Arabidopsis thaliana: one gene and its partner. The protein of the gene in region 2 interacts with the protein of the main gene of each other region in a pairwise test. Each region holds a gene or a part of one and is shown on either strand. Other genes may lie near its edges.

Evidence for each region.
Region 1: the proteins of AT1G50290 (region 2) and AT5G03545 interact in a protein complementation assay, tested with the Arabidopsis thaliana proteins (one large-scale study listed by BioGRID).

The regions. Positions count from the first base shown.
Region 1 is NC_003076.8:884,551-901,218, reverse strand, and holds AT5G03545 (expressed in response to phosphate starvation protein), read right to left. Parts: upstream 6,638-16,668; 5' UTR 6,173-6,637; coding exon 5,960-6,172; 3' UTR 5,702-5,959; downstream 1-5,701. Other genes in the region: NCS1 (permease, cytosine/purines, uracil, thiamine, allantoin family protein), read left to right, coding at 1,066-2,865; AT5G03553 (uncharacterized protein), read right to left, coding at 3,562-3,596, 4,223-4,373; AT5G03550 (MATH domain/coiled-coil protein), read left to right, coding at 5,074-5,406; EXO70A1 (exocyst subunit exo70 family protein A1), read right to left, coding at 7,303-7,420, 7,519-7,665, 7,758-7,858, 7,948-8,047, 8,149-8,349, 8,468-8,673, 9,285-9,497, 9,575-9,713 and 5 more; RABC2A (RAB GTPase homolog C2A), read left to right, coding at 14,158-14,293, 14,633-14,701, 14,793-14,858, 14,949-15,070, 15,158-15,286, 15,368-15,478; RAB8C (RAB GTPase homolog 8C), read right to left, coding at 16,061-16,144, 16,247-16,339, 16,424-16,486, 16,563-16,660.
Region 2 is NC_003070.9:18,620,653-18,637,537, reverse strand, and holds AT1G50290 (uncharacterized protein), read left to right. Parts: upstream 1-9,085; 5' UTR 9,086-9,275; coding exon 9,276-9,680; 3' UTR 9,681-9,987; downstream 9,988-16,885. Other genes in the region: STP9 (sugar transporter 9), read right to left, coding at 10-639, 982-1,304, 1,416-1,554; TAF15 (TBP-associated factor 15), read left to right, coding at 5,876-5,980, 6,091-6,419, 6,536-6,733, 7,329-7,412, 7,789-7,870, 7,984-8,107, 8,524-8,720; AT1G50280 (Phototropic-responsive NPH3 family protein), read left to right, coding at 11,246-11,308, 11,394-12,575, 13,349-13,681; AT1G50270 (Pentatricopeptide repeat (PPR) superfamily protein), read right to left, coding at 13,704-15,494; NTMC2T5.1 (N-terminal-transmembrane-C2 domain type 5.1), read left to right, coding at 15,895-16,682.

The DNA of each region.
Region 1 (16,668 bases), on a different chromosome or scaffold from region 2:
TATTGATTTGACCTGCTTGTAACGGATACTAACATGGGATGATGTTGCAGGTCAGAGACTGATATAATCAACGTGGTCGAGCAAAGGATATGGCATTCAATGGAAGAAGGCCACTTTGAGAACTTACCCGGTAAAGGCAAACCCTTGAACCTCCATACAAATCCTCACGCAGACCCAGCGGAGGATACATTGTATCGGATTCTTAACAAGAACGGGTTTGCTCCCGAATGGGTGGAGCTCAACAAAGAGATAAGAAACAAAGCAAAAGAATGGAGAGTTTCACTGAAGAAAGCATGGACAATGAAACTCGAGGAAGACCAATCGGGATGGGAAGAGAGATCAGATTTGCTGAAAAACGAATTGAAACAAATCAATAACATGGCAAGTATTCAACTACAAATCAAGATTCTGTTTGCGATATATAATGGTTTGCTTATGTGGTCTCTTGTTTGTTGACAGGTATTCAGGTACAATCTGATCGTTCCTTTCGGCCGTCAAATGTTTGGACTGAAGTGGGAGAAAGAGATTGATCGCTTGAAAGAATAACATCTTCAGAAGCCAAAAGGTTGGTCACACTACTATGTTCTTGTGTTTGTAGTATATCTATTGATAGTATACGAGTCAATGTGGCTATTGGTGCTTAGGCTAGATATAAAAAGAATAAGAAACAAGTGTTTGAGTTGTTTCATGTATGTTGTATCCATCAAATACTCTCTTGAAAGATAATTATAGCTAAGAAAGAAGTCTTTAGGGATCAAATCACGTTCTTTAATTTGAATAATTTCTCTAAATGAGTAGGCTAATGGAAGTCAACGAATCAAGTAAGATTGAAAAGAAAAAAAAAAACTCTTTTTTGCTGAAAAAAGAAAGAAATCGAATCTTATTTTAAGTTTTTTCCGTATTAAGTAAAAGAAAATGAGATGTGATAGCGACGAAACATCCACTAAACACATGGTTCATGTCCAACCACATGTTTCTTAGAGAACTTAAACAGAACACCACCACACAATTTCCATCTCACAATTCTTTCTCTTTCTCTCTTTTCTGTGTGAGAAAGAAGACTCAATGGTCTCCAATTGCTTAAGCCTTAGTCTCCATCTCAATCTCCATCCCCACAAACACAATCGTCATTCTCTTTCTTCTTTAAGATCTCGCACAAAAGCTAAACTCTATCAACATGTCTCATTCACAGATTCAAGCCACAAGAGTTCCTACACTTCTTGTGTGTCTACGTTCGACATTCAACGCAAAAGTAGCAAACACTATGAATTGGGCAAGCACAGCTTCAGTCCGATCCTGCCTGGTGACAACTTGGTTTTGAGCCGATCTGGTGTCATCCGCCCACGACTCTCAGCGATGACCGGCTCAGAAATTAATGACCACGGGTACGACGAGTCCCAATTCGACCCATCCCTCACGAATGACGACTTGAAACCGACAACTCCAAGCCAGAGAACGTTTTCATGGTTGGATATGTCAAGTTTATGGATCGGTCTCGTAGTTGGTGTGCCTACTTACTACCTCGCCGGGAGCCTAGTGGATCTTGGCATGGCGTGGTGGCAAGGGATCGCCACAGTTGTTACAGCCAATCTAATACTACTTGTGCCGCTGGTCCTCACCGCTCAGCCTGGCACTCTGTACGGAATTTCCTTCCCTGTCCTTGCTAGATCATCATTTGGTATCCGTGGAGCTCACATCCCGACTCTACTCAGAGCATTAGTCGGTTGCGGATGGTATGGTATCGAGACATGGATCGGAGGTGAAGCTATCTTCTTGCTCTTACCGGGTCATATTAAGAAGTCTGCTTTGTCTCATACACTACCTTGGCTCGGCACTTCTCCCCTTGAGTTCTCTTGTTTTATTGTCTTCTGGTTGGCTCAGCTTTGTATTGTCTGGAGAGGTATGGATGGAATCAGAAAGCTGGAAAAGTACTCAGCTCCAATTCTGATCAGTCTCACGTCCTGCCTCCTTGCCTGGTCCTATCTCAAAGCCGGTGGATTTGGTCACATGCTTTCCTTATCATCCAAGCTAACCTCTGCTCAGTTCTGGACTCTCTTCTTCCCGTCCCTAACCGCAAACATAAGCTTCTGGGCAACTCTAGCTTTAAACATCCCTGATTTTTCCCGGTTTGCAAAATCACAGACGGATCAAATCATCGGTCAAGTTGGTCTTCCTGTTTTCATGGGGTTGTTTACGTTTGTTGGCGTAGCTGTTACGTCCTCCACAAGTATCATCTTTGGAAGAGTCATATCCAATCCGATTGAGCTTCTCGGTCAAATTGGAGGCCTCGCCACAACTCTACTCGCTATCGTCGGAATATCCCTAGCCACACTCACTACAAACATAGCTGCAAACGTGGTCGCCCCAGCAAATGCGCTTGTGAATCTAAACCCTAAGTTTTTCACATTCGGAAGAGGAGCCTTCTTGACCGCAGTTCTCGGAATCGTGTTTCAGCCATGGAGATTGCTTAAATCGAGCGAGAGCTTTGTGTACACATGGCTCATAGGGTACTCAGCGCTTCTTGGTCCAATCGGAGGCATAATTCTTGTCGATTATTACCTGATCAAGAAGATGAAACTGAACATTGGAGATTTGTACTCTTTGAGTCCCTCCGGCGAATATTATTTCTCTAAGGGGTATAATGTCGCAGCGGTCGTCGCTTTGGTCGCCGGAATAATCCCAGTCGTGCCTGGTTTTCTACACAAGATCAGTGCTTTGTCGAAGATCTCAAATGGGTTCGTCGTTGTTTACGACAATGCTTTGTTTTTCAGCTTCATCATCGCAGGATTTGTCTATTGGATCATAATGTCTCGTCTGGGAAGGAAACAGAGCTCGTTGTCTTCTTCTTCACATCCGCTTTTGTAAATCTTTGCATTTAATTGGTTTCGTAAGTAACTAAATATAAGTCATCACAGATGTAAAATTAAACAGAAGAACAAAAGAAAAGAATTGTCATTACTCATTACGGATTTAATTTCATAATATTGATTTTCATGCAGACTAATAACTTTTTGTTAACAATGAGCATATTGGGATCTTAAATAGCTTTACGAATTTGTTACAGCCCATGGGCTTGCTTCAGCCCGTAAAGAAACTTTCAAACTTTAAGAAGTCAATATTTGTTCCATAGTGCGAATCCAATGTGATTTAAAAAACCAATCAACATCATTAACATAAAGTAACTTTGAATGCAGTAATTAATGTAGCTTTCTATTTTAATATAAACAGCTGTCACGAAACGAACTGTATCTAGATCTAAGATCTGAAACCATTAATGTATTATTATCATATGAAGACAACCATGTGCAAAGCCACGTTGAGTTTTGTTATGTATAGTATATAAAGTAAAGAGAAAGAAGGAGAAGAACATTATCACAACCATCCAAATCTTCAAGATGTGATAAATTAGCCAAGAAGTTCATCTTGTATACTCTTATAAACTCTCATCTAAATCAAATTGCGACGAAATACATTAGCTAAATCCGAAGAGTATACCGGCGTTTACCATCTCGATTCTTCCCCTGACCATATCACTTCCACCTCGCCAAGCGGGGAGATTCTTCACATCGATAGTCCAGGTTTCATATCCAGTGACTCTTATACTCGCAAGATCTAGAACAAATTTGTGGTTGCGTGTGTTTTAAGAAATTTTGACATTCGATATTTTGATCGTAGTAGCTAATGATAGTTACCTATTTTGCAGACATGGTATCGTGGCGTTTCTCTTGGGTGTAAAGCTAGGAAAAAATGATTGCTCATAGTCGGAAGTGACAATCCTTTTTATGTGATACTCGTGATTGGAATAACAATAACAAGGTTTGCAGTTGAAGTAACCTTTTTCAATCATCATATCCATTTACAACGACCTTAAGTATAAGTAGATATATGGGGATGTAACGCATGTTGTTTTCTGCGGGAAGCATTTGCACATGTTTCGTGGAGAATGAAATCACATTCCATACATGAATAATAATTACCTTTTAGATAGAACATCGTACTGCTTGAAAAAACATGTTAATGTCATAAACTTTATGATGAAAACACCTATAAAAAGCGTTTTTTCAAGCATGTGCTATCTATGAAGGTAATTACTATTCATGTATAAAATATGATTTTATCCTCCATAAAACATGTGCAAATGCTTTCTACAGGAAACAATATACGTTGCATCCCCATCTACTTACACTTAAGGTCGTTGTCAATGAATGTGATATAATGTTACTTTGACTGTAAAGCTTGAGAGCAGTGGTTTCATCTATGAGTGTGGCATAGATCCACGAATAATCCATCTGTGCATGGTTAAAGATTGGAGCTTTGATGGAGATCTCAAAAGGGCCCATAGTTGAGTTTGCTCTGGTTTTCAACATCTTCATTGTAGGATTTTGACTACTGACTCATCATGCCTTGGCTGATAATGATCTTATCTTATTTTCTCATTACAGTTTGGTTCAGAAAATGTGTATAGTGTATTTACCCAATTATGAGTACATTAGGTTTATTTGTCACAGCCCATCAAGCAATCGCAACTTTTAAAAATAATCCACTAATTATTGATAAATTTGAGACGTTTCAGAAAGGGAAAACATTATGCGAATTTTCAGGTTCACTAATTATTACTAGTTCAAACAAAATCTAAAAAAAAACAGTTATATATATATATATATATATATATATATATATATATATATGATTTCCTTTTTTGTAATCTTAAAGTTATCTTATTTTAAAATTAAACCGAAATCTAAAAGAATTAACAAACTCGATTTCGATTTGGTTTAGGAATTAGAAAGCTTCTGCCTCCTCTATATAAAGAGAGCGAGTTCTAAAACAATCATTCATGAAGCAAAAAAAAAACAAAAAAAACTTTTTGCTCTGACATTAATTACCTATACCGAAATCAAAAGCCAAGTTATGGGGGACCAAATTCCGTTGTTGCATAGACGAAGAAAGATTAGAGTCAATGGTTTTGCCATTGATTCTTGTCACATAACGTTAGCAAAGTGGATTTTTCAGACATATCCAGAAACTACAGACCATGTCAAAGTGCAAAACCAAGCTCTCAGGAATACTTAAATGAACCTTCTCTGCGACATCATCGGGATACTTTACCACACGCCTCTTGGTTATCTCACCGAAGCAGAATTGAGCAAAGCTTCAAAGGATATGTGTGATCTGACACAAGCCGGTTTTAACCTGGATTGGTTGCAGTCAAAGCTTGACATGGTTTCCTTGGAGAAGAAGACTTCTGAAGAACGGATTCTGGAACTCAAACTAGAGGTCAAGAAACTCGTGATGACTGCGACTGATCTCAATAGTGAGAGGAAAAAGGAGAAGAAGAAGTTGAAGAAGCAACCAAGCTGGATACACGCAACAAAAGATGGGCGACTATATTTTAATTTTTTCTAAAACACTTTAGAATAACATAATGGTTATTTAGGGTTATCTAATCTTTTTTTTTTTTTAATATTATTATTATGGATTGTTTATCTAGAAACAATAATCATGTATTATTCGGAAAAAAACATAATTAGATACCCCTACGTTTTCTGTAGTAGGTTTTCTAGTTTGTTTTACTTTATACGACTTTTTATTTAATAGCTTGTCAGACACGGTTTGATTAGGGCTCTCTTGGGTTTCTTCATAGATGCTCATATTAGAAGAATGAATGTGTTTAAATTTACCCGATTTCAATTGGCTAAAACTGGACTATTAATGGGCTAAGAATGGGCCAGCTTAAAAGTATTTTTGATAAAGGTATACACAGATTGCTAAAACAAAATTGTTTGAAGACACTCACTATTAATGAAAGGTAGAAGTGGGGTTTGATTTTAGATATCAAAACCGAATATTCTTTTATTCCTCACACACACATAGGAACACACCTGAATGGTGCATCACACGGGATAACAACAACACACATTCAACACAAACATGACGAAATTAAAGACAATAAACCAAACTAAACCGGAAACAAAGTAAACACGGAACATAAACATATAAGAGCTATAGTAATCATAATCTGCTGATTCCGAGGGGAACCGAAGCTTGCCAAAGGATCGAAGTTGCCCAAACGAGGGATAACAAAAGACACATCAAGCTTGTCTTCATCAACCTTCATGCAATCTTCATCGCTCCATTCACACACAATCCTCATCATCATCATCATCACCATATTGATAATTATGATATTGGATAATGATGATGATGATGATGATGATCATTTACACAACACCCACACACGAACATTCACAATCATAATCTCCAAGAGATCTCTTCTTCTTCTTACCTTTTGTGAGTACTCTTGTGTTTGGGGCCATCCCATAAAGAGAAACTTGAACCTCTCAAAACCCTTTATTGGTGAGATCTTCTGATAGATTCAGAGGGTTCTTGAGCTTCAGTTTCTTTAGGGGATGGCCATATTTTGTGTGTTTGGTGTTGTGCCAAAGAGAGTTTCAACAATGGATGTTGTTAGGGTTTTTATGGCTTCTCTCTTTGTCTTTGGTCATGGAGACAAATTATACAAGAGGTTGAATACACTCATTACATCGATTCAAATTATCATTTTTTTATATTATTTTGGGAAAAAAGTGGAAGGAGATGATGGAAATGGGGAAGTCCATGTAAAGATGTTGGGAGAATTTGGATCTTCTAAAAGGAATATGCCAATTACCAAACATGTGTGTTTTAAAACAACAAAACCATCTCATCACTCTTTATTTTACTAATAAATCATATTTCTTTCATTTAAGTATGCAAGTCGGTAGAGCTCTATCTGTCTTGTTCTGTTCAATAACAACTGATTAATCACCTAAAATCCATTAAGAAAATAACAGAATTGATCCGCATGACAATCTTGTCCCCAAGCTTAGTTCAGCTGTTCGGACAAATATTATTGGCTCGATCTTTAGTACCAAAGCTCGTCTCAAAGCAATTGTCAATCATATCAACTTATAACTTAGCTCCTTCACTGCATATTTTTTTTTATAAATTACGCCTAGGATTTTGATTTCCGATTAATTTCATTCTAAGAAAAAAGATTTCATATCCTTGTGAGTTGAGATTAGACTTATTAGGCCATGGTTATTTCAAAACGTTTAACGTATACAAAAGGAAACAACTCTGTCTCCAAGTAATTTACACATTCTCATTCCAACCAAAGAATAGTAGAATACAAAAAACGAAAAGTTGACACTGCATATACAATAGCAACGAACCTAGTTATGTAAGGTAAGCCAAAAAAAAGAAGAGTTTGATAGAAATTTACCTTACACAATTAGTTTTCATCATCTTTTAGTTGTTTTTTTACCGGCGTGGTTCATTCATAGACTTTCCTTCAAACAACTCACCCAACAATCTTTCAAGATCTTCAGCTGTATACTTTATGTATTTCTGAGGATTCTTCCCACTCTCAACCAAAGGCCTGCATCGATCATAGGTTAAAATCTCATTTAGGTTTTTTTACATTTCAATCAAATATTAGAAAAGCCTTCGCAGTAAAGAGAGAAAGGAGATTTTTACCCAAAGCGTTTGAGGAATGATCTATAAGCAGGCAATAATACTTCAGCAACAGCAAGTCTTAGTGACTCTCTTAACTCTGTGTCTGGAACTGTCCATTGCGATTGTCTCTGATGCAACTCATCAAACTGCATATTGAACATCTTGAACCTGTTCCATTTTTTTTTTACAGATTTATCATCATTACCAAATATATAAACATTTGCCAATTACTGTGTTTATTTTACATGTTTAGGACTTACCTCTCTTTTAATAATCCTCTTGAAACTCCACTGCTGTTTCCTCCCTCTAAACTTCCTCCCCCAGATGAGGTCAAACCTTGCGCCGATGAGCTTTGTAGTATCTACAAAATATGTAACAGTTTCTTAGTAACAATTTAATGAAATTTTATATAATAGTGTTTCTTTACAGAGTTAGACAAATAGACAGAACCTTTGTCCAGGCAACTCTTTTGTATTGGTTTGCATGTTGCTGCACGATACGCCTATGTCTTTGAACCCAATCATCGCCTAACAAATCCTTGGCTTCTGACCTGAAAAATTATCATATGAATAAAGCTAAATGAGTGCGTTCTTTTATTTTTTTAATAAAACCAGATCAGCCTTTAAAGTTTAAACGAGAAAAATAATATACCTGCGCACAGATCTGACCATGTAATGAATGTTGTTCATCAGGAACAAGTGTGTCAATGCAGGATCTTTGTACTGTTTCGATTTTCCGTCCAAGTTGTTTTGAAGCGCCTGCATTATCCGCATCGTTACGGATGCTAGCTGCGAATTTGAGTCATCTCCATTTCCAAATTCCAAGAAAAGTTGCTTCAATGTTGTTTGGTAGCTGACACCAATGATCATCAATTAAAGCGTGGAAAGGGACAATACGCAAATAGCAGTATGGAGAAGAACAATACGCAAATAGTTCGAGGAAATAAGTTGAGTATATATGATGTACTTACTCGAATAAAAACTTGACATAATTGATGACATAGCTTGTTAGTGGGTGGACAGTTCCATCTAGAACAGCAGTCTTTGTAGCATCTTTCTCAACAGCTTCTTCAAAATCACCAAATGTTTCCTGAGCAGTTTGCGCCAACCGCTTTGTCAAGCCCGTCGCAGAATCTCTAATTTCGAGGCATGCTTTCCCTTTGAAAATTGTCTCAATCTGTCCATGGACACAAATTTCATGAGATTGTACCATCTAATCTTATACCATAAACTGGTCATAAGAAAATTCACACTTTATGTCGTCCTAGATAGCAAACTTCCACTACATATGTATCACAAAGTTTTTTCTCTGTGTGCCATGCTGTTTATTATGGTGGGGATTTCAGTTGGTCAAAAACATATCTGATTGATAGAAACTCCACATGGGAAGAAAAACATTAAAGACAATCACTTTCCATATATTACTCCTCAAGTAAACAAAGCAGCTAGGTTTGACATCTCTAAGAAGTAAGTGGTGAACTCTATGCGTATGCAAACTGAAGTTTTACGTCTTAATATGGTAAATCGTTATGTGTGTCAGTGTCAATAAAACTAGACGTTTGCAGCATCCTATATTCTATAACATTTCACCTCACTAGCTTATACAAATGAATACAGGTTTGAAGGTGAATCAAGTATGTACCAAAGTTCATGATACTGAAAACTGACATTCTTAAAGATCAGAAAAAATCCACCAAAAGCTGAAACTAAAGAATAATTTTTCCATTTAACAGAAGACTCTTCAGTAAATGTATGGCGACTTAATGATATTAATGAGAAGATTATTACCTCTGTATGAAGCTCCCGCATTATCTCATACATGTCTAAGAGTACAAACAACTTTTCTGGAGATCTCTTGCTCCTGGCTATAGCATCCCCAAAGCTAAGTAGCATTGAGACACTGCTCACTGTAACTTCTGCAAAACACTGATCACTTAGAGAATCGAAGCCTCGGAATATCTGGTCACATACTTGTCTTTCTCCAGCAAAGAGTAATTTAACCTGTTGAACAAAATATCTTGAGTTAAAAGTGAACAAAACATGTTAAAGTTATTTCCATCCTTAACTAGAGTTCTTACAGCAATGCGCATGAAATGGATCCAATTTCCAATTTTGGCCTCCAAAACTTCCCACTGCATCCTCTGGACATCCTCTTTGCTAAGTTTTTCAACTCCCAATTTCTTTAAGCTTTCTTCCAAGACAAAGGAACGTGTGTCCCTGAACAAAACACAACAGGTTGAACAGAAGGAGATTAATAACAAATTCAAAAACACAAATGCATCTTAAATATGCATTGGGAAAATGCCAGTAGATTATGCAATTCGCTGCTTATATCTGACAATACTAGTAGTTCATATAGAAGAAAAAAGACAAAGCTTCTCCAATGCATTACACATATGAGACAAACAGAATTGCATCTAGCAATAATGTTTTCAGATCAGGTAAGCACAAACAGCGGAGTACACGATGTGCACATCACAGCCAAACTATTTGATGAGTGTCAATAGAAATTCATATTTCAAAAACATTTCTCTTTAGCTTTACTAGTGAAACAGCAGAAGGATAGTCAAATATAAACTCACAACTTGCAGAAACCATGGAAAAACTACTTTGTAAATGAGCGGTGACTGGTGAGAATTATATGTAAGTTAATTGTATACCCGCAATCGTTCAAAGAAACTATACCTTGACTCAGTACTTTGACTCATGCTACAATTATTAGTTGAAAATTTAAGCTAAGAGCCTGATTTGAAAATGAACTGTACGACATACAGGATGAATGACCAAGAATCAATAGTTCACCTATAAATTTGTAGCAACTGTTGTTGGTGACCAGCCTGAACCATTTGCTGTGCCAAGTCATGCAAAAGTGGCAACACCCGTGACGGAATGAGGATTGGAAGTGTATAAGCAGCAGTTTCCGCGTCATCATTGTGATGTCCTCCGTGGGGTTTTCCACCTCCATCCCCGTCTGAGGATGGTCTCAGTGAGTTGGGAAGGCCATCAAATAGGCGATCAGGCTCCACCGCTTTACTGATTATAACAAAAAAAAAGAGTTGGCCTTAGCATTCTTCCATCTAAAACCAGTTGTCTGGAACACTCGTATCATAGGAAACTTGTATATTGACAAGTGTTTGATTTCACAAAAAAAAATCTTTGTCAGGTGACAACTCCGATAATTTAGATAAAAGGTCATTCTAAGTATTCTAGGTTATTTGAAAGATAACTAAAGAAGTAAGACCATCATAGAGCGAAGACCAGTTCCCAAAAAAATACTAACTAGAAAAAGTAGCTAAAAATCCACAATAGCTTTGTTCCCTGAAGTTACAAGGTATGAGTCATAGTTATAGCAAGAGCATCAAGTTTGAAATCATGTAGCTTCTTAAACTCTTATCAGGCGCAGAAGCACAAACCTGTAAGAAGCTAGCAACTGCTTAAACTCTTCCTCCAGCTTTGACTGTGCTTTAGCAAGCAAACTATTTGCGTGGTTGAGAACTCCATCACTACTCTTAAAGCTTTTGTTGCTCATAAAATAACGAATAATCTTTCTGAGTTGAGCAATTGCATCCAGATAACTTTCCAGGTCCTCATGTGGCCCCTTGAGTACTTTAGTCTCTGCCTAGAATTGAATTGAGAGCATAATCAAAGACTATCTATTCTCAATGTAGATCATTATCAATTCTATCTATTTATACCGATCCATGTTAGTAAAATCAGAAGCAAGATTTGTAAAACAAACCTGACGGAGGAGATCGAATTGAGACAAAATAACTTCAGCAGCCTTAAGAGTCCTATCAATATTCTCATGAGCTTTCCTTATAGCATGAGTCCTAATCTGAGATTTCAAAACACAGTCAAACCAAAATCCGATCAAGTCAGCAAAACTCCATAGAGCTATAATACCAGATCTGGATTAGAAAACAATCAGAGAAGATGATCGGAGCACTCTAAACCACACCTGAGTAGGACGCATGGCGGTTTCAAGAGCAGACAGACGACTATCGAAGGAGCCGAGGATAGAAACAACATTATCGGTGATGGTTTGACTCTTTTGAAGAGATGCTCTCATCAACACAGCTCTTTCGCTTAGCAGATCCATTCTGCTATCAACAGCCATGGCGAATTCCAAAACTGGAGAAATACTTTTTCTCGTCGCCTTTCGAAAAATGGAAGTTGAAGAAAAAGAAAGAGAGACGACGAAGGATGACTCGGTTTGGTTTGGTGGGTGACAGAGGAATGCCGAGCCGGTTCAAAGCCAGCTAAGCTTTTTCTTTCCCCTTACTTAACCAGATTGTTGAACATTCTCTTAAAAATATTGACCTCTGTTTTAAATATTTTTATAACAGAATTATAGAAATAATTAAGGTTCAATAAAATTTTGTATTTCCATTAACCAATAATGTAATCGTAAATTAATATATGCAGACGCTAACCATAATAACACATATCGAATATTATATTCCAATAAAATTAAAGAAATAAGTACACTTCAATAAAAATTTGTCTTTCCATCAACCAGTAATGTAATTTTTCAATTTATTATAGTCAGATATGCTAACCATAATGTAATCCTCTCATAATTTTTCTTTACAAACTCGAAGTTTTTGGTGTTATATCGTTCGTTAAATGTCGACAACATTTATAAGCATTGAGCAGTGTTGACATATCATGGCCCACAAAATAAAAGGCTATTGTCCAAATACGAAATAGCCCATTAAATACGGCTACAAATTTGTTTTTACACAAAAGTCACAGTACTGTAGATCTATCTCTAAGAATATTATCCATTAACGACCAAATTTGTCTCAGAAAATAAATGGCTCAACAACAAACTAAATATCAACATTTTCTCAAGAGACATATTATAACTAAAAAGAAATGAACAAAACACTTGACATTAGTGTGTTGAAAACTAAAAAAAAAAGAAGAAGAAGAAGACTTATGAGGATTGTTAGACGAAGATGTAGCCTCTAGAGGATCTTTATTTTGTACTCAACTTGGCACCTTGGTGTGTCAATTTCGACACAACAGTTCTATCCTCCAATAAATTGAAATCACACCGAACATTCACACACACAAACATACACACACTTTATTCTCAATTTATTACGATGGTTTAAATGTTTACTAGAGAGCAGAAAAATATTTTAAATTCAAAAAGAGAAGAACAATAAAAAAAGGTTAGGCGAGCAAAAGGAAGATGATATTCCTAAGATACCTTTTCTTTTCATGGCTTTTCCGTCACTCATTCTGTTCCCAAAACCATGGACAACATTCTCATATTTTTGGATATTTAGAGAGAAAATTAGTTCCATATTTATTCATCTGCCGTTGATAACTTTTAGTTTATAGAAACATAAACCTTCTTGAAATATGTTTTACCATAAGAGGCATATTAAATAAATAAATAAAAAAAAATGACGACAAAAAAAAAAATCATACTGTATATAAAAAAAGAAAGTGTTTTGTGAGAAAAGAAGAGAAAATCAAAGTGCTTTGACTCTTAGTGACGTCTTAATCGGAGCGTGGAAAGCACGTTCTCAGAATGCGCGCGTAAACTTTTGCACAGGCCAGGGGTGGGGTTTCGCAGGGGCTTGGCTGACAGCAGACGAAGGCCAAACATGGCTCCCATAATTCATTTAACCATCACTGTTCGCCGACTCTTCTAGAAAAAAAAAAAAGTAGTTTTCAACCTTCTTACAAAATAATTAGTTCCATTGGTGACTAAAATTTAGTCATTGTAAGTTTTTTTTTTCCTTATTTCAATTTATATTGTAGAGAATACAATATAGCCTAAAGCAATGAGAAATGATGTTAATGACTAAAAAAATATGTATAGTAAGCTAGTGACATATCATAAATTGTTTTATAGATATAAAAAACAAAATTCATGAAAGTATAGACACATTAAAATTTAAAAATAATAATGAATTCCAACCACTTTTTCTAAGCGGTTCAATGAATCGTCTAATTTTTTAGACTGTTTAAATTAGTCTGTCCAAAAATAATGCTCATTCCCTTTTTACAATCGCTAATTTAAAACGCTTTAACAAACTAACTGACAAAATCAAATCGTTTCAATTGGTAGCCCACGAAAACGGTTAGTCTCCAACCGCAGTGGTTAATAGATATGGCAACCGCAGCCGCGATTCCAAAACGCTACACACACACGTCGACAAAAGAACCTGGAAACCAAAACAGAGACGTTTGAGTGAAGCAAAGTGTCGGAGAGAAGAAAGCAAAGAACAAACGTTACTATCTCAGGTCTGTGTCTTGTCTTCTTCTTCAAAAGAAAAAAAAAAAAAAAACTCTCATTTTACCAGTTCTCCTCTCTTTCTCCGTAAAGAATAAATCTTCCAGTTTCTTCATCACATTTCTTTTCCTTATTTTAATCAAAACATTTGTTTGCATCATTCACAGGCAAATAAAAATTCTCCCTTTTTCTTAGATTGCTACTACTTATAAAGTAGAGAGTGCAGATAGATGTAATTATCAAACGAGGAAGCATCATTATCATTATCATTATCATCATTACTGCTTCATAGATTCATATTATTGTTTATCTAAAAGTTTGCTTTTGTAGTAGTTGGTGGTTAAGTAGGATTTGATTTGATCTTCTAGAATTACAGATCGAGAAACAGCAAATCTGAGGTTTTAGAAAATGGGATCTTCTTCTGGGCAAAGTGGATACGATCTGTCTTTTAAGATCTTGTTGATTGGTGATTCTGGTGTTGGTAAAAGCAGTTTGCTTGTCAGCTTCATTTCTAGCTCCGTTGAAGATCTTGCTCCTACTATTGGTAAAATAGTTTTCTTCAACTTGTTTCCTCTATGATTTTTGAAAAAGGGTCTCAGATTTATGTCTTAAGAGCTCTGAAATTGATATGAAGCTAAGTCATGTCTTTGGTGCTTTAGTTGTTGATCAAATAGTAGTATTCTATAAATGGAAGAGCTTGAATGATGAACATCTGTCTTTGATCGAATTGCCACTGAAACAATATTGACTTTTTTGGTTAGACCCAGTTAGATACTTTCTGTCTGATAATCTAGCAGTCTGGTCTTGGTTTGGTTTAAGGAAGTCTGTTTTGTCGGATCTTATTGGCATTATATTGTTGGTTTAACATAAGTATTACTCATAGGTGTTGATTTCAAGATCAAACAATTGACAGTAGGAGGCAAAAGGCTAAAACTCACAATCTGGGACACAGGTGAATGATTCTATATTTTGAGATTATTATAGAAGTTTTATTGTAAATAAAACTAATGGTTCTGATAATATTCTCGGTTTTCTCATTGTAGCTGGACAGGAACGGTTTAGAACACTGACAAGCTCTTACTACAGAGGCGCCCAAGGAATCATTCTCGGTAACGTCCATCATCAATCAATCAATCAAAGGAGACTAAGAGATCTCTCTGTCTGTAAACTGTTTAGTTAATGTTTCTTGGTGAATGCAGTTTATGATGTGACGAGAAGGGAGACATTTACAAACTTAGTAGATGTGTGGGGTAAGGAGATTGAGCTTTACTCCACAAACCAAGAATGTGTAAGGATGCTCGTTGGGAACAAAGTCGATAGAGTGAGTTGCAATCGAAATCGCACTACTTGTTCTCAAAACACGGTTTGGTCATTTTGGTAGTTGACTGGATAAAACATATGATTACAGGAATCTGAGAGAGGAGTAAGCAGAGAAGAAGGGATTGCTCTAGCAAAAGAACTCAACTGCATGTTTCTTGAGTGTAGTGCTAGAACTCGACAAAACGTGGAACAGTGTTTCGAAGAGTTGGCTTTGAAGGTAAAGATCCTTAAATCTGTTTAAAAAAACGATTCGAAAAGAGAGATTCATATATAACATAGAGTGAATGTGATGAAACAGATAATGGAGGTACCTAGTCTCTTGGAAGAAGGATCAAGTGCTGTGAAGAGAAACATCTTGAAGCAGAAACCAGAACACCAGACTAATACTCAATCCGGCTGTTGCAGCTAGTGACCCTAGTCGATGTTGCATATAAAATACTCGAATCTTTATCTTGTGTATTGCAAACTGAACCTGATTCTTCTCTCTGTGGTTGCCTCTTTTGTGTGTAGAACATAATGTAGCTTCAATGTAAATTTGTGGGATTACTTGTATTCTTCTTTTGCTTCTGAAATGAGATTTGTGATAATAACATCATATAATAGAATAAACCCCATCAAGTGTTTTCTTAAATCCGTGTTTATTTTGGCTCAAACTATGGTTCTAGTAGAGAACAGCATTCACAGTGAATAAGATAAATCCTGATTTGAACAGTGAAGTCAGAGGTATACACACTACAACAGTTTCATTTTTATAAATTCAAAGTCTTTTTCACATAGTTTTTTGACCAACATAGTCTTCCATATCAGGAAGATCATTGTACAGGAATTATGGAGATAACAAATTAGACATAAAGATCACAACCATCAATGAGATTTCCTACTCGTTCTAGGTAACAACATGAGAATTATCTCTGATTTGAGACGTAAGAGATGAAAAAGATGGCCAGATATTTAAAAAACCCGGTGCAGGCGAAAAAGAGCAATCATACTCCTAAACGTAACTACAGCAAGCTGACTTCTCGGCTGTAGAAGACGATGCGGCAGTATCTTGTTTAGTGATCTTGATGCCTTGGGGCTGCAAAGTAACAAGAACAGTACATATGTTTATTACTCAGCTAAAATGTCGGTATAAGAATATGAAGATCGAGTATTAATGGTTGATTCCTGCAGTTCTTACCTCTGCCTTCGTGTCGGTTTCTGTCAATCTTTGTTTTATGTCTTTTGCGATTGACATGAAAACATTTTCGACATTGAGGTTTGTTTTTGCACTCTGCAACAATTGTAATCACATTAGTAACCTCAAGAGCATATTAATGAAAAACAGCAGACATGTTCTGTTTTTTATCTAGCTCACCGTCTCAAAGAATTTGATTCCATACTCATCAGCCAAAGCTTGGCCCTTTGCTGTTGGAACAGCCTGAACAAGAAGATCACAAATCAGTACACTATAATTAAACTCTTGAAAGTAAAGTATGCAACTAAAGATTACTTACCCTTTTGCTTTCATCCATATCAGCTTTGTTACCAACCAATATTTTGTTGACATTATCTGAGGCATGTTGCTCAATGTTCTTCATCCAGTTCCTAATATCTGTTTGA
Region 2 (16,885 bases):
CATTTTTACCTGGGAAACAATCATTTGGATGCCTCCTTCAAGGAAGAGAATCCTTCTTCCGTACCTGTCAACCGCATAGATGGAGACAAGGGTAGAGACAACATTGACCGCACCCGTAATAACCGCTGAGATGAGCGAGGCATCATCCGCAAAACCGAGAGTCTTAAAGAGAACGGGGGCGTAGAACATGATAACATTGATACCAGTAATCTGTTGGAAGAAAGGAATCGCAGAACAGAAAACAAGAGCGGGTCTGTATTTTGCCTGTTGGAAAATGTTCTTCCATGGATTATCCACTTTCTTAGCAGCCTCACAAGCATCACACAGATCTTGAAACTCCTCATCTACGTTATCAGCTCCACGAATCTTTTGCAACATCTCTCTCGCTTGTTCGTACTTGCCTCTCTCGAGCATCGAGTTTGGTGTATCGGGCAAGACAAAAGATCCAATAACCATAATAACTGCCGGTACAGCGGCTAAACCCAATGATACTCTCCATCCGTTCTTAGCCATTTGAGATGTTCCGTAGTTGATTAAGTTTGCAATCAAAATCCCGATGGTTATAGCCATTTGAAACCCGATGTTAAGTGCTCCTCGGATCTTCGCTGGAGCCATCTCCGAGAGATAAACAGGCGTAGACTGGAAAAACAAAGTTAAAGATGGATGAGCCATACTGAAACCAAATATACCTTACTTTATTTCATACTAAGCGCTAACAATATTTTTATAGCTAACAAATCAAATATCGTGCAACCAAACAGCAACGAATAAACCAAAATAAACCGCAACTAAATTTTGATAGTATTAATTATTTATTTGTATTTTAAAACTGAACCTTAGATGTAAGTTGATTCTAGTTTGGAAATTGGAACCACTCTGAAAAATTGAGAAATTTTTGAACCAAACCGAGTCCAGAACCAGAATGTCTTGAGCTAAACCACATAATAAACACACCATGACCATGTTGAGTTGTTGACTCACCTGATTGGCAAATCCAACACCGACTCCGAGCAACAATCTACCAACGATGAGCATTGCGACATTGGTAGCAAATGCGTTGAATAGAGAACCTATGAGGAAAGCAACCCCTCCAACAAACATGGAGATTTTGCGTCCGTACTTCCTTGTGACAGCCGAAGCTACAAAGGAAGACGCGAGTGCCGCGAGGTAGAGTGAGGAAGTGAACAACTGTAGCAATTGGTTATCGAATTTGCAGTAAGCAGTCTCGCGCCTTGCTTCGTGCATTTGCTTATCCACCTCCGGGAAAAACTTGCTCAGAAACTCCTCCATAGATGTCACTCCACCTATACAACAAAAGAAGTCACGTTACATTCCCCGAAGCTAGAGTGGACAGCGAAAGCGAACCAAAATAACTCAACCCGAAGAAGAAAAAGGCGAATGTGGAATTTACGAACCTGAGATACCGAGGTCATAACCAAAGAGGAGACCTCCCATAGCGGCCACAATACATGTCATGATGACAAAGACGGTGACTCCGCCTTCATAGCTGTTTCCTCCACCACCACCTTCTGATACAAAGGCTCCTCCAGCCATTATTATTTATTCTTCACTTATTGATTGTTAGTATTATTGCCTTTTGCTTTGTTATTCAAACAAGAACTAGTGAGCTTATGATCCAAAACTGAAGAGCTTGTGAGCTCCTTAAATATAAGAATTTTCGTTATCTATTATTAGGAATCGATTGTGATATTAGCTGTTTTAGATTTATCTTAGCTTATGAATAGGTGAAGTGGTTTTGGTATTTTTTTCATGTTCTTCAAACCCAGTTTTAGTGGAGATCTTACTGTCTTTTTTTGACAGTTTCTTTTGTTTTTTTACTGACAACTTCCGCTCATTTCTCTGTAATTTTTATTACATAAAGACTCTAAGAGATATGTTGAAAAAGACAGTCTAACCCTAAAATAGGATCTTGTATTAATATAATAACAGTCGCATTTAGCTGTGAACTAATTGTGATTTCGTTCAGTACGTATATATAATATAGTCTATTTGGAGACATTTCATTTCTAGTTTAGTTTGGTTCATATATTTAGGATTGATTATTAGATACACGTCATTGTAGATCGTTGTTCCAGCTAATTTGAGAGAGAACGTTACAAAGATAATTGAAAATGAAGAAAAAAACAAAGTAAATATATCTACGTAGACAAAAATGTTCATTGTCATTATGAACACACCGTACGTTCTCTAATAGAATAGGTTTTAAGATATTTCTCATCTTTGTAACTCTGTAATATATATATGCAAATTGAAAAAGAAACAACAACAACAACAACGTTCCCATTTTTGAATCATGTCATTATGTCAATCTCGGTGTAATTAACAATGAGCTGGACGAAGAACACATAGCAAAACCTCCGAGAATGAAGATTGGATCAGTTCAACATCCTAAGCCTTGGTCATCAAATATATATCAGGCTCATGGACGACAGAAGTCCGAGTTTGTAACATGAGAAAAGATATTACAAATTAAGTTTATCACTACGTACGTACTTGATAAGTCTAAATGAAAAGTGATGGAACAAGAAATCTTTAGAATAAACATGTCAAGTGATCATGACATGATGCAACAGCCATGAACAATTATCAGCCACCCTTTCATTACGTAATTAACCATCACATTAAATCTCATGAAGACTTTCTTTATCTCGGCTGTCTCCTGATTAACCGAACCACGACTTCTTCTTCTCAAGAGCTCAAGTGGCTTTTTTGCTTATATTCACAAAATGAATTGATGGCTATTAAGCAAGAGTGAATGAGGATCAAACAGTGCACATTCAAACTTTGGGTCCAAAATCTTTAACGACCATATTCATCATTTAGCTAATTTTGTCTATAAATTGATTATAGCATTTAAAATCAAAATTTCTTTTATTTCCAAGACAAACAGTCATACATATATATGCCAGTTAGCTGTTGTTTTCACCTTTGAATCTTAGAATTTATTTTTTCACCAACGTTGGACATGCTCTTTATAAGAGTTTGGAGGGCTTTTAGTTATGGGGCAACTAAACCTTGCACGGAATTTTCCTTAATTAGTTCATGTTTAAATGTATCATAGTTAACTATGTCATGGTTAATCCACAAAAAAAAAAACATATTGTGTATGTCCAACTACTCATCCATCCTTTTAGGTTCATCCTTGAGAACCTTGCCATATATCTACTTCTTTTTGGGAAGTACGCTCGGTAGTGGAATGGATAGTTGCTTTTTTTTTTTTTTTAAATGGATAGTTGCTTCATCCTCAACTTTAGCCACAAAATCTAAAACTTGGATGGCAGTTTAATATTTTTGATCTGTTAAATCTCGGAGGCGCCAAACTTTTCGTTTGGGTGAAGAGATCCTTTGATAACTCCCAATACACATAATGATCTGATACCAAATTTGTTTTTATTAGTGTCATCTTATATAACATTTTTTATTTATGATAAGATGTGAATATATTACCAAAACGTAGTAAGAATTTTATTTTAATGAGATTTACTAATATAAAGTTTTTTTTGGGTTTTATTTAAATGGGTTAGGAGTGCAATTGAATCATTTTTTCAACTATTTCAACTTAAATAGTAAAAAATTGATTGAATGTTTATTCAACTCTTTTAATTTCTTCAATTACGTCAACCATTTGCACTGGTTTGTCAATTACAGCAATAAGATTTTTCTCTGAAAACTCATTACAAGAAAACTTGTTCTATTCTTTAGTGAGTTTTTAATCTACTAATTATATATATGAAAGTTAGCCAACTCTCTCCATATGATTGACACATCATCACTTTAACATTTGCCATGTATCCACTGAATAATTAATGTAAGCTCTTCAACTTTTAATTTATAGATTAATGATGTATTTATTATTTAATTTTACATATTTAATTGTACTAATACTAAATTTATTTTGTTATTAAATGTTTTTCAATAAAATAATTTGATTGATTTTCTCATACTCAAAAGATTTTTTTCTGTAATCTTAACTCAAATTATGAGTGTATAGTAGTCATGGATTAATTAATAGTTTGAATAGTTTGCATATTGTTATATATCTATATAATAAATCGCCGAGGGTGAAGAGTATGTAAGAAGTTTAATCATCAAATTCTTAGGTTTCGAGAATCCCAATATTACCTTCTATTTAATTAGTTTAAGACGAACATTGTTTAGGAATTGTGTGTATAATGCATTGTTGAGAATGTTGTTAGAAAAAATATATTTTAATATTAAGAATAATTACTTATTATATAAGTAAATGATTAGATAATTAAAAATTATATTTAAATTAAACGATACAAAAAATTTAAAAATACCGCAGCGTAGCGCGGGTGATTACCTAGTCATAGTAAAATTAGTAGTGACAGATTTTAAAAAATGACAAGCTTATGCTAGTAACTTTACAAAATAGATAGCATTATATAAATATTTTACTGTAGTATGAGTCAATACTTTTTTAATTATTAATTTAGTCAATATATGTTAGATGCAAATGTATTTTTTTTTATTGACCAATACTTTGGTAGTATAATATTAGTAGTATTAGATATTATTGGCTATAAATAGATTCAACATTGAAACACAAATCATATATATGAAAGAAGACTAACTCTCTCCCACAACTTGACACATAAGCACATGAGAGCTTGCCACCTAGACTTCATAAAATAAGTAATACATAATTAGTAATTAATTCAACATAACAACTAAAATAGGAGAATATAATTAATGAGAACTTGAACCATCACTCTTTCTACATTTTTAATTCAATATATCCTCTTTAATTTTGAGATCCACTTAAGTGGCTAAAGTGATGATAAAATCCAAACATGTTACACATATTCCTGGCCTAAAAATTAGACGATTATTATGAAAGAAACTAAATGAATATGCAGATTAAATATATCTAAGCTTTTCGATATTTATGCTAAGAAAACAGGTAATTTGAAAGATATTTGAGGAGCTATCCTTATAACTAATACGTAAGATATAAGATTATGACAAGAACTTAACTAAACTTTCTAAGAATATCGAGTTGAATATGCTTAGATTGAATATGCAAAGACATGATTAATAAAGACATGTTATATTTTTAGTGTAAGAAATAATTTTTCTAAAATTTCACTGTCTCACAATCTATACATATAACTAAAAAAGCAAGGATATATAAATTCAAAAAAAAACTAAGAATCTAAAACAACAATAAAAAACAACTCAAGCACATTCGTTTTTCAGATGAACTAATATAGTTGGACTTTTCAAAAACAATTACAAAACATATTTATGTTTCAAAACCTATGCATTCAACTTTACTTTATATAAACAGACATTATATAAAACAATTAGTAAATAGTAATACGTAAACCCGCACGTAGTGCGGGTACTCATCTAATTTGTAAATTAATAATTCCTCAATTTGCACCCAAAAAAAGAATTCCTTAACCACGAAAAAAATAAAAAAACAAAATTACAATTTAAGGGGGAAAGTTATATGAAATTGCAAATATAACCACCAAACAAACAATCGACTATCGAGGTTACCCTTAAGAAAATCTTTATTCGCAAGATCTCTCTCTCTCTCTCTCACTCGACGCACTTTAGAAAGAAACCCTAGTCCGACGACCTCTCCTTCGCCGCTGAATCCTCATCGCTGGTCAGATTTCTATCTATCTCGCTCTTCTATGTTTCCCTATCTCGTTGGTCAGATTTCGAATCTTCTTTTTGTTCTCATGGTTTTTGAGCTCAAAACTTTGGGGTTTCAATGTCTCGATGTTATTTCTTAGCGAGGTTTCAATGTTGGCTAAGTGAAGTTTTGGTATTGTCATTTACAGATTCTTGGCGGCTTTCTTTTTGATGAAATTGGATTACGATGGCTGGATATCCTACTAATGGATCAGTCTACGTTTCAAATCTCCCCTTAGGAACTGACGAGAATATGTTGGCTGACTATTTTGGGACCATTGGGTTGCTTAAGGTATGGTATTGGCCAGGTACTAATTGTTGCTTTTGTTTTGACGTCATTGCAATCTTTTATAGGTCACTAGATTTTCGAGTTTCTTACATTTTTTTCTACATTGCTTTTAGAGAGACAAACGAACTGGTACTCCTAAGGTATGGCTGTACCGGGATAAAGAAACTGATGAGCCCAAGGGAGATGCTACTGTTACCTATGAGGATCCGCATGCTGCTTTGGCTGCTGTTGAATGGTTCAATAACAAAGATTTTCATGGAAACACCATTGGAGTTTTTATGGCCGAGTCGAAGAATAAAAATGCTGGTGATGCAGTTGAGTTTGTTGAATTCGATGGAGGTGCTGAGGAAACAAATGGAGGTGCTGGAAGGGGGAGGGGTCAGGCTGATTCTTCGGCAAAGCCATGGCAGCAAGATGGTGACTGGATGTGCCCTAATACAAGGTCTGTGATGTGATATCGGTGAGGAGCTTCATCTAGCTCTTGTTTCCGTTAATTTGCTAGTTTTTATATATTTTATAGTTTCTAGCAGTAGTGTTCTCATACTCTTTCATTGGCAGTTGTACAAATGTGAATTTTGCATTCCGTGGGGTTTGTAACCGCTGTGGAACTGCTAGACCAGCTGGTGCATCTGGTGGCAGCATGGGTGCTGGTCGTGGAAGGGGTCGAGGTGGAGGCGCTGATGGTGGGGCCCCGGGGAAGCAGCCCAGTGGTGCTCCTACTGGTCTCTTTGGTCCAAATGATTGGGCTTGTCCAATGTAAGCATTCCGATTAGGTTTGAAATAGTTAGTTCAGTTTCAGAGGATAATGAGCGTTTGGTACTTGATTAAAACACATCGCAAGAAACAATTTATATTCAGTAGCAAAAGAGAACATTCAGATGGCATATAGCGTTGCTGGATATAAAATTAATTTGTCTTATGTATGGAAGGAATATAGCTTGTATATCAATGCTTTTGATGATGTCAGTTGACTCTTTACTTAGAAAGAAGTGATGGCCCGCTCTGCTGTGCTGTGTCTCTTAAACTGGTCCAAATTATGTGTGGAGGCACATATTTTTTCCTTCTTTTTTGAATGTTGATTCTAATTTCGTAATTTTCCTTCAGATGGCTGTTAATCTGAAAAATGTAATTTGAAACGTGGGTAGGTTGTAGTCTTGATCCTTCTAAGAAGTTATATTTGTGAAGATAGGCTGCCTTCAATTTTCTGTGTCTGATACAAAAAATGGACTATGTTTTAGTTTAATTGCAAGTTATGCTATGTGTCATCGAGTAGCTTAACTAAGAGGCTGCACTGTGTGAATGTGAGTTCTTATGCATAATGCACTTTTTCTTTTTGCGCTAATTCTTTCAGGTGTGGCAATGTCAACTGGGCGAAACGTCTAAAATGTAATATCTGCAACACCAATAAACCTGGTCAGAATGAAGGTGGTGTGAGGTATGACTCAAAGCCAGTGATAAGATTGCCTTTGTATTGTTATCTTGCAATGTTCGAGCTGAGGATTTGGATTATAAATGATTTTACAGTGAATGTAGGAGAGGTCGTAGATTTTCTGTTCGATGTTTGTAGTTTTGTTGTCAGCAGGGTATATTTATTCTGCTTTTAGACAGGGCCTAATAGATACCTGGGAAAAAGTCTCAATACTCTCTTCTGCAATTTGAACGAGTGCTTGTTTTCTTCGACAATTGATTTATCCCACTTGTAATGTTTTATTTTGGCCAAATTAGAGTTGCATTAAGAAACATTAAGGTTTGAGTTTGGAAGGTTGTTTTTATCTAGACCAGTGCTTATTCATTTTTTTTTCTCTAAATAGGGGAGGCCGTGGTGGTGGTTACAAGGAATTAGATGAACAAGAATTAGAGGAAACGAAGAGACGCAGGCGTGAGGCTGAAGAAGTAAGATATGCTTTTCCTGAAGAGTTCTTTGTTTTTTGTTTTTTTGTTGCAATTCGGATGAGCTCTCAGTTTTTTGTATATTCCATTTGACTTATACGTCTAATATATTTCAGGATGATGGTGAAATGTATGATGAGTTTGGGAATCTAAAGAAGAAGTACCGTGTTAAAACAAACCAAGCTGACACCAGACCTGCTGTTGCTGCTGGTCGTGCTGGGTGGGAAGTCGAGGAACTAGGTAAGTTCTGTTTAATTTTAACTAATATGAACTAAATCTATGCAATCATCAAATAGGTTGAGCTTATGAACAGAACCTTTCCACTATAATAGAGATTTATTTGGCTCGATCTATATCTACTCTCTGTGTATAGTCTTCAAAGAAAGTTTCTGCTTGTCATCTAGACACTTGAGTGAAACTTAACATATATGCGGGGAGGGATTTGTTTGAAATTTTACATTAAGCTTGCAGCTAACTTGCCTATAGCCCAAGCCTAGTGGGGATCTCCAATAAACAGTGTTGTTCCTTGTTAGAGTTTTCTTCTTTTCACTGAATAGATATAGAGGAAGATAGAAAAGAATGTTTATTGCTGCTTCCCCAAAAATAGAAAGGTCATGATCCAATGTAGTTGTTCATAATTTATATGAATGTGGCAGGTATTGATAAAGATGGAAGAGAGAGAAGCAGAGACAGGCAAAGAGACCGTGGTAGAGATCATCACTACGATAAGGATAGACGCAGAAGCAGAAGCCGAGAGAGGGAAAGAGGCAAGGAGCGTGACTATGACTATGACCATGATCGGGACAGAGACAGAGACTACGGTCGCGAACGTGGAAGCAGGTACCGTAACTGAGAGATTACTCATAAGTGTTAGGGTTTAGTTTCTCATCTGTTTTGTCGACTTACTTTTACAACGGTATCATTACAATGTCTTCGCCTTTTGTTTACTTATTGTGTGAAGTGAAACTCATTTTGGTTTGAATCAATGGCTATTGTTTTTCACTTGTTTTGGTCTGATTATGTTCTGAGAATACTCCATGTTTATCGTTTCGAAAATTGGTAATTATGGCAAAACATGGTTAGCGACGTCAATTGCTAATTTAGACGTGTATTAAGTATTATTTTGTCTTTTGTAGTATTATTTTTAGTTGTCCCTTTGTTTTTTTTTCCATCGCCAATCATTTCATCGCTGTATGATTTTAATGGGAATAAAAAAAATAGAACAAGAAGATTTTTGTGGACAATATAGTTTCTGAAACTATAATAGGATAAGAAAAAATTAAGCTTATTTGTGGGGATATATATTAATGTCATATCATTGTCATAAACATGGTCGGCAAAACTTGGGACGGCAGTTTACCAGAATAATCCGGTCGACAGAATTCAACAGTTCCTCTCTCTAAAAGATATGAAGGAGATTAATTTTGGCTTTGTTAGCAAAGATGGCCGGTCCTCTTCTGGCAAATCCGGCTTTTACAAGCGGTTTTGGCCGGCTTTTATCCTTCCTCCGCCGTTCGATCGGTTGTTCTTACCGATTGCTTTAGTTTCTTTTTCAGTTTTTCTTTCAATAATTTCTAAAGATTTCAATTGGAGATTAATTTTAGGTCATAATAGCCTAAGATTAAGTTTTCGGATTTGTATCTTTAGAAAGTTTGATTTGCAGAATTACCTCAAGTATGAAAGGAAGTTTTGTTTCCAGCATATTGGGATTGCCTGTAGCCGTTTCTACATGTTTATGGAGCTTCGATCGATCAAATTTGAGGAATACTCAGATTTTTCTTTCCTCATTACCTGTTTTTGCCAAATCTCTTGATTGATGATTTTGGAATTGAATTCTCTGTTTGTGTATCCTCCCTTCTCTGTTTAGCAGTTTCCGGTGAGAAAAAAACAAAAATCGATGTTTGCCCTTTTTCGACGTTGATTGTGTTCACCGGATCGGAGTCTTTGACGGCACAGGATGACAGGAACGTTTCATCGCTTCTCTTGCAACACGTGTCTTGTTATACGATCGTGTTTTGTTAAAGAGATATCCTTCCTTTAAAGAAATGTAACTAAGTGGACCTTTGTTGGGCTGTATTCTGTGGATCATTAATAAACATAATCTTTCCAGTGAAAAAAAAAAAAAAAAACATGGTCGGATATGGGAAATACGATGAAAAAAGCTCGTCATGGACTCGCACTTAAAACAGGAAAATCTTTTTCGTCTAGACCCCACTTATTCACATGCACTACGACATAATTCCAAATTCTTTTAAAAAAAAAGAAGAAGTTAATAGAAAGAGTGACCAAAGTACAGTATATGATGATATTTATAACATACAGTTAAACTTCTATAAATTAATAGTCGATAAATTAATAACCTTTATAAATTAATAAATTTTTCCAATCCCGAATTTGTACCAGTGTAAAAAGTGACACAAATCGATAAATTAATAAGATAATAACTTTTTTGAAAGTTCTATGTAAATATATGGTCCCATCAATATCATAAATTAATAATTGTATAAATATATCAATTATATATATACATTATATGTAGGAATTTTTCTGAAATATAATTCTAATATTTTTTTGCTTAAATTTGTATTTATTTTTATTTAAAATTTAGTTCTCGTATTTTACTGTATCAAAAACTTTTGGTGTTGTTTTCTAAACATGATATTATTGTTTAGTTGTAATTGATTCTTGAAAGATATTTTCTATAATGAAAAAAATCCTATAATTTTTTTTGAAAAGTTACTAAATTAGGAAAATCTCTCTATAAATTAATAAATATTAATTTATCGATAAATTAAAACCTCTCTAAATTAATAAAATTTTGTAGTCCCAACATTATTAATTTATAGAGGTTTTACTGTATGTTGTGTTTAGTAATGCTGTATTAATTTTTTTAGTGACCTTTCAAACACTTTGAAGTTTTGATATTCATGTTTGAGTTTGAAAAGCTCATGTACAATATGAACCGAATACTTGACAGTGAAAAATAATTATCATAATTTCTTAAAAGTCAATCCTTCTCAAAGATATAGGAATCAAAATTCTACAGCATTCTTTTAAAAACAACATAACAAGACAAACAAAAGAAATCAATTTATGGGAATTTGAGAGACTTTGGAATTTATGTGGTTTTATTATACTAGCTCAACATAAACTTTGTCTTACTTACCTCTAATTTCTCAAACTTAGATTCAGTTTATATATTTTTGTGCATTTTACAGGTGTAAATAAAGCCAAATGAAACACTATATATATCCACTCATTTACATGTGCCCACTATAATTATTGCTCTATTCAATCCAAGAAAAAAACACAGAGGAAGAACAGAAAAAAGCTCACAAAGTCACAAGACCTCAGTAGGCTTCCTAGTTGTTCTATGAAATGTCTCCTCTCAACGATCTTAAGATCAATCTCAATGGCCAATACACATTCTTCCTCAATCAGGTAAAGAACCAAACCTAAAACTCAGTTCAAAAAACCACAGTCTTGATTATGCTCTGTTCTTAATTCTCTATGTGCTCTGTTTTAGAACGTGATTTCAAAGTACTCTGGAAGCTTGAGGAAGATGATTAAACAGAGCAAAAAGAAGAGAAACAAGAAAAAGAGAATCATCACTATCGAGATTAATGATTTTCCAGGAGGACCAGATGGGTTTGAGCTGGTTTCAAGGTTCTGTTACCACAACGGAGAAATCTTAATCGACGTCTCAAACGTCTCGACTTTGTACTGCTGCTCTGTTTTTCTAGGCATGTCGGAGAAGTTCTGTTTCTCTAATCTCTTCCTTCAGACAGAGAAGTTTCTAGAAGAAGTGTTCTATGGGTCTTGGAGCGACATCGTTTCGTGTCTCAAGAACTGCGAGCAAGTGTTCTTCCAAGCAGATTCGTATGGTCTTGTAGATAAACTCATTTTCGCAGCTTTGAACAAAATCTCTCAGAATTCAGACGATTTTTCTTCTTCTTCGCTTTCTTCCTTCGCCTCTTCTCTTTCTCCTGAGATGGCCAAGAACACGTCAGAATCAGACGGTAGGTATATTTCGCGGTCTGTTGCTTGCGGAAGAAGCAACGAGTGGTGGTTCGAAGATATGACAAATCTTTCCCCGAAGATCATATTGAAGCTAGTTATGATCATTGGAGCTTACAAAACCAACATAAAAAGCTTAGTCCTAACCAGATTTCTTCTCCATTATCTCAAGACAAAACTCCAAACCAAATCAAGAACTACCACTGAGCTTATGAGGAACAAGCTCGAGTACTCAGATTTAGCTGACACAGCGGTTAGAGGAGTGATTTCCGCAGGGACACGTACGTTTTCTTGCAGGAAACTCTTCTGGATTCTTCGAGTTTTATCCAGTTTTAGCCTAAGTAGAGAGTCAAGAATCGGTTTAGAAACCCTAATAGGAGAAATGCTGGAACAAGCAACACTTGATGATCTTCTGATATCTGCAAGAGGAAGCAGAGAAAGTGGTTTCTACAATGTTGATCTTGTGATAAGATTACTAAAAGTATTTGTGAAGAACAGAGAAGAAGAAGAAGAAGAATCAAGAGAGAGGAATATGAAAGAAATTGGGAAATTGATTGATAAGTATTTGAGAGAAATATCTCCAGATCAGAATTTGAAAGTCCCCAAGTTTCTTGGTGTTGCAGAGAGCTTGCCGGATTCAGCTAGAGATTGCTTTGATGGAGTTTACAGAGCAATTGACATCTATCTACAGGTCAGTTTTTTTTTTTTGTTAAGTTATAAGTTTTACTATTATTTTTTTGTTTTTCTTGAATTTCTTCACCAACTAAATGATTGAGCCAAAAATGTTTTTTATCCTGCAAAAGTGAGACACAAAATAGAGAATAATTTTAATTTTCTATATGTATTGGACATATAGAAGATGACAAGTGCCATACAGATTTCAATACCATTTGCTTATTAATACATTTTGGCTTTATATATTTATTATGAAGAGTTGAAATAGAGTCAACTATTCTTTTATTCATCATAAACATAAAAGATTTGAAGTTTGAGACTTTGGGATATAAAGCCAAACTAAGTTTTAATATAAAACCGAAAATGTATCAAAGAAAAGATTTGAAGTTTTTTGAGATTAACGTGTATTAATAATATACACACATGGATGTATATATATGATTAAGAAGATTTGGAGTCATCCTTTAGATTCTTCACTCTGTCTTGTTACTGCCGTGGGGTTCATGTCAGACCCACAAGGCCACAACAGTCTTGACTGTATGTTTCTTCTTGTTTTTCTCTGTAATACTATTAGTAAAAATATCTTAAAAAGGAATAATTCTGGTAAGGTACTATCAGTTACACTTGAAATACATGTCAAAGACTAACAATTATTCATGTACTTTTCTATTCACATGTTTTACTGGAATTAACAATAGTTCATCATTTTCAAAAATTGTAGAAATAATGATTATTATGTCAGTGTATGATTGATTCCTTTATAATTTCTGTTGTTTTGTTATTGTACAGTCTCATCCGAATCTAACACCCCAAGATCGAACAGAGATATGTCGATGTCTCAACTACAAGAAACTAACAATGGAGACGTGCAAACAGCTCGCCAGAAACCCTAAGATCCCTCCAGAAATCGCCATTGAAGCACTCAAGTCCAGATGTGGGAATCAAGAACACACAACTTCAGATGTTAAAGTTGCAAACAAGAGTTTTTCTTGTAGATATTCAGAAGAGAAGAAGAAGCCTGTAGTATTGCATCTCGAGATAACAGAGAAATTAGCCGAGAGGTTGAAGACTAAAGGAGGATATAATTTGAAGGTTATGGATAGTTTCAGAGAAGGCTTATGAGGAAAATGGTAAACGTCCCAAGTCATGATTCAGCAGTCACATCTTCCAATTCATCTGGCAATCTCATTTGCACCCCAACAGTGTCGAGAGTCTTGTACAAATCATCAGATTCAAGGGGTTTCTTATCATCGAAAGCTATGAATTCACAAAGCTTGCCTTTCACTTCGATCCAACTAAATCCTGGCGATTTCACCACCTGTTGATCTTTCATTTGCTTTCTTACCCGAGCGACTTCATCCCAGTTTTGGGATTCCGAGTACAAATTAGCCAAGAGAGTGTATCTCCCACTATGACTAGGTTGCAGCTTGATCACACGGGAGGCTGCGTATTTACCTAACTCATAGTCTTTGTGTAACAAACAAGAGCCGAACAGAGCTCCCCATACCACATTTGTTGGCTCCATTGGCATTCTTTCTATCAAAGCTTTCGCCTCTTCTAGCAAACCTTTTCTTCCAAATAAATCAACCATACACGCATAGTGATCCGCTTTTGGCTCCATATTGAAACGTCCCTTCATGCTCAGGAAAAGCCTTCGACCCTCTTCCACAAGACCTCCATGAGCGCAGGCACTTAAGACAGCCATGAAAGTAACTTCATTTGGTGAAACATGACTACTCAACATGGTATAAAAGAGATCAAATGCATCTCTAGCATATCCGTGTGCTGCAAATCCATTAATCATCGCGGTCCAAGTATACACATTTTTCTCATGAAGTCTCTCAAAAACAAGTATAGCTTCCTCTAAACACCCGCACTTGACATAAAGATCAATCAATGTAGTTCCAGCTGTAGTGTTTATCTCAATCGAATTCTTAATCATATAACAATGCACCCTTCTTCCTCGGTGAAGTGCCCCGACATGAGCGCACGCCGAAAGAACACTGCTTAGAGTCTTCTCATTAGGCGCAACATCACTCTTTAACATCTCCTCGAAAACCAACATCCCTTTATCGAAGCAACGGCTTTGCACATATCCAGCAATCAACGCCGTCCAAGTAACCACGTTTCTGCTAGGCATTTCATCGAACACTTTCTGGGCATCATCATAACAACTACATTTCCCATACATATCTACTAGAGAACTTCCTATGAACACATCGCATTTCACTCTCCCTGTTTCTAAGTAAAGCCCATGAACGCTTCTCCCAAATCGAACATCTTCAACCTTCCCTGCAGCTTTCAAGACGCTAACAACGGTCATTTCGTTAGCCGCGACTCCAGTCTTCTTCATCTCCACGAAATACACCATTGCTTCCGAAGCAGAACCATTTCTCACAAACCCATCAATCATTGCAGTCCAAGTAACCACGTCCTTATCTTCAGCTCCATCAAAAAGACGACTTGCAAAATCGAATAACCCAGAACTAGAATAACCCGAAATCAACGAATTCCTGACAAAAGGATCCGAATCCAACCCGAATTTAACGATATGAGCATGAAACTGAAACGGGTTCGAGTCTCTCAGTTTGAAAACCGCTTTGAGAAGCGGAGGAAACGTGTGGCGGCTAGGGATGACGCCGTTTCGCCGCATATGACGATAAGCAAGAAATGATAACCGACGGTTGAGAGTAATCCCGCCGGAGAAGTGACCAATGAGCGAATCCCATAGTTGAATGCTCAGAGTTTGGAGTTGACATAATAAACGACGAGCGTAGCGGAATTGAGTTGCGGCGGTGCAGCAGCGACGGAGAAGACGTGAGAGAAAGAGATCGCGACGAGTATAGAATATCGGAGAAGTTAGGAGTAAGCAATGGATCTGCTTGAGATGAAGAAAGTGTAATGGAAGATCAAGCAATGTTTTGAGCTCAATCATGTGAATTGAGAAGTAAGCAAAAGAGAGAGAGAGAGGGGGTGGTTAATACTTCAATTCGAATTTTCCAGTTTTCAGATTTCAGATTTCAAAGGAACCGAACCGAACCGACATTAAACCAAAATTCCCATTCAATTGAATCGAAGTGACTCTGAATATCAGTCGGTTTAGTTTTTATATATTTTTTTTAATAGCCGTAGAGGGGGAGACGAGGGTTCGATCCACGTGTCAAACAGTCCAGAGAAAAAAACAGAAGTAAGAAGAGAAGAAAATGAACTTCTTCTTCTGCAATTTTTCTAACTTTGTTAGCTTCTACAGATTTTGCTACGAGCCATTGGAGAAACTGTTATTGCCCTAAAGATATGCGTTATTTTTCTCCTTCTTCTTCGGATACGATTCATAGATGATTCCACAAACTTCTTCTTCGAATTTTGATTTCCGATTACCTGTTGATGTGTCTTGCACTCTGCTCTGTCCATGCTCTAATGAGCTCCGCGCGGTTTTTTTTACAAGGAGTCGGGTTCTGCGTCCGAGCGTCAAAATTTCGAACTTTAGGTTTATTTCCTGTGGATTTCGTGGGAATTCGAAAAACCTAAGATTGACGGATTCTAGTAGAAAGGCTGCAAATAGGTTTGTAATTGCTAGGTTTACGAATGAATTTGAAGACGAGGGTAGTTCGAAAGAGTCCAATGACCAAGCCAATTTCAGTAACTTTAGGGAAGATCCGATAGTGGATAAGCTTAGGACCCAGTTAGGTGTAATCCATCCACTTCCGTCACCGACCATTAATCGTAGTGTAATTAGTCTATTCGTCTTCTTCTTTTTCGTTGGTGTTGCTTTTGATAAGCTATGGACTTGGAGAAAGAGGCAAAGAGAAACAGGTGGAGATGGAAACCAACGAGGAGTAGGGCCATGGCCACAGGTTCCCACCAGCTTCTCTTTGTTCCTAGAGAAGGATTTGCAAAGGAAAGAGTCCGTGGAGTGGGTCAACATGGTGTTAGGGAAGCTCTGGAAAGTGTATAGAGCGGGTATTGAGAATTGGCTCGTTGGTTTGTTACAGCCTGTGATTGATGACTTGAAAAAGCCTGATTATGTGCAGAGAGTTGAGATTAAGCAGTTTTCTTTAGGGGATGAGCCGTTGTCTGTCAGAAATGTTGAGAGGAAGACATCTCGCCGTGCCAATGACTTGCAGTACGTGTATACTTGTTTGGTACTAACAAAGTTTTCTGCGTTGATTAATTGCTGGGATTGCTCTTACTTGGTTTCAATTGTATATTGTTTTGCAACCATTGAATCTCTTGATGAGATTTATTTGGCTTTCATTTCAGTTAGAGTTCACGAAATAATCTTCATTTGAAGAGTGACCTTTCTTTGAGCATGATTTATGTACATAA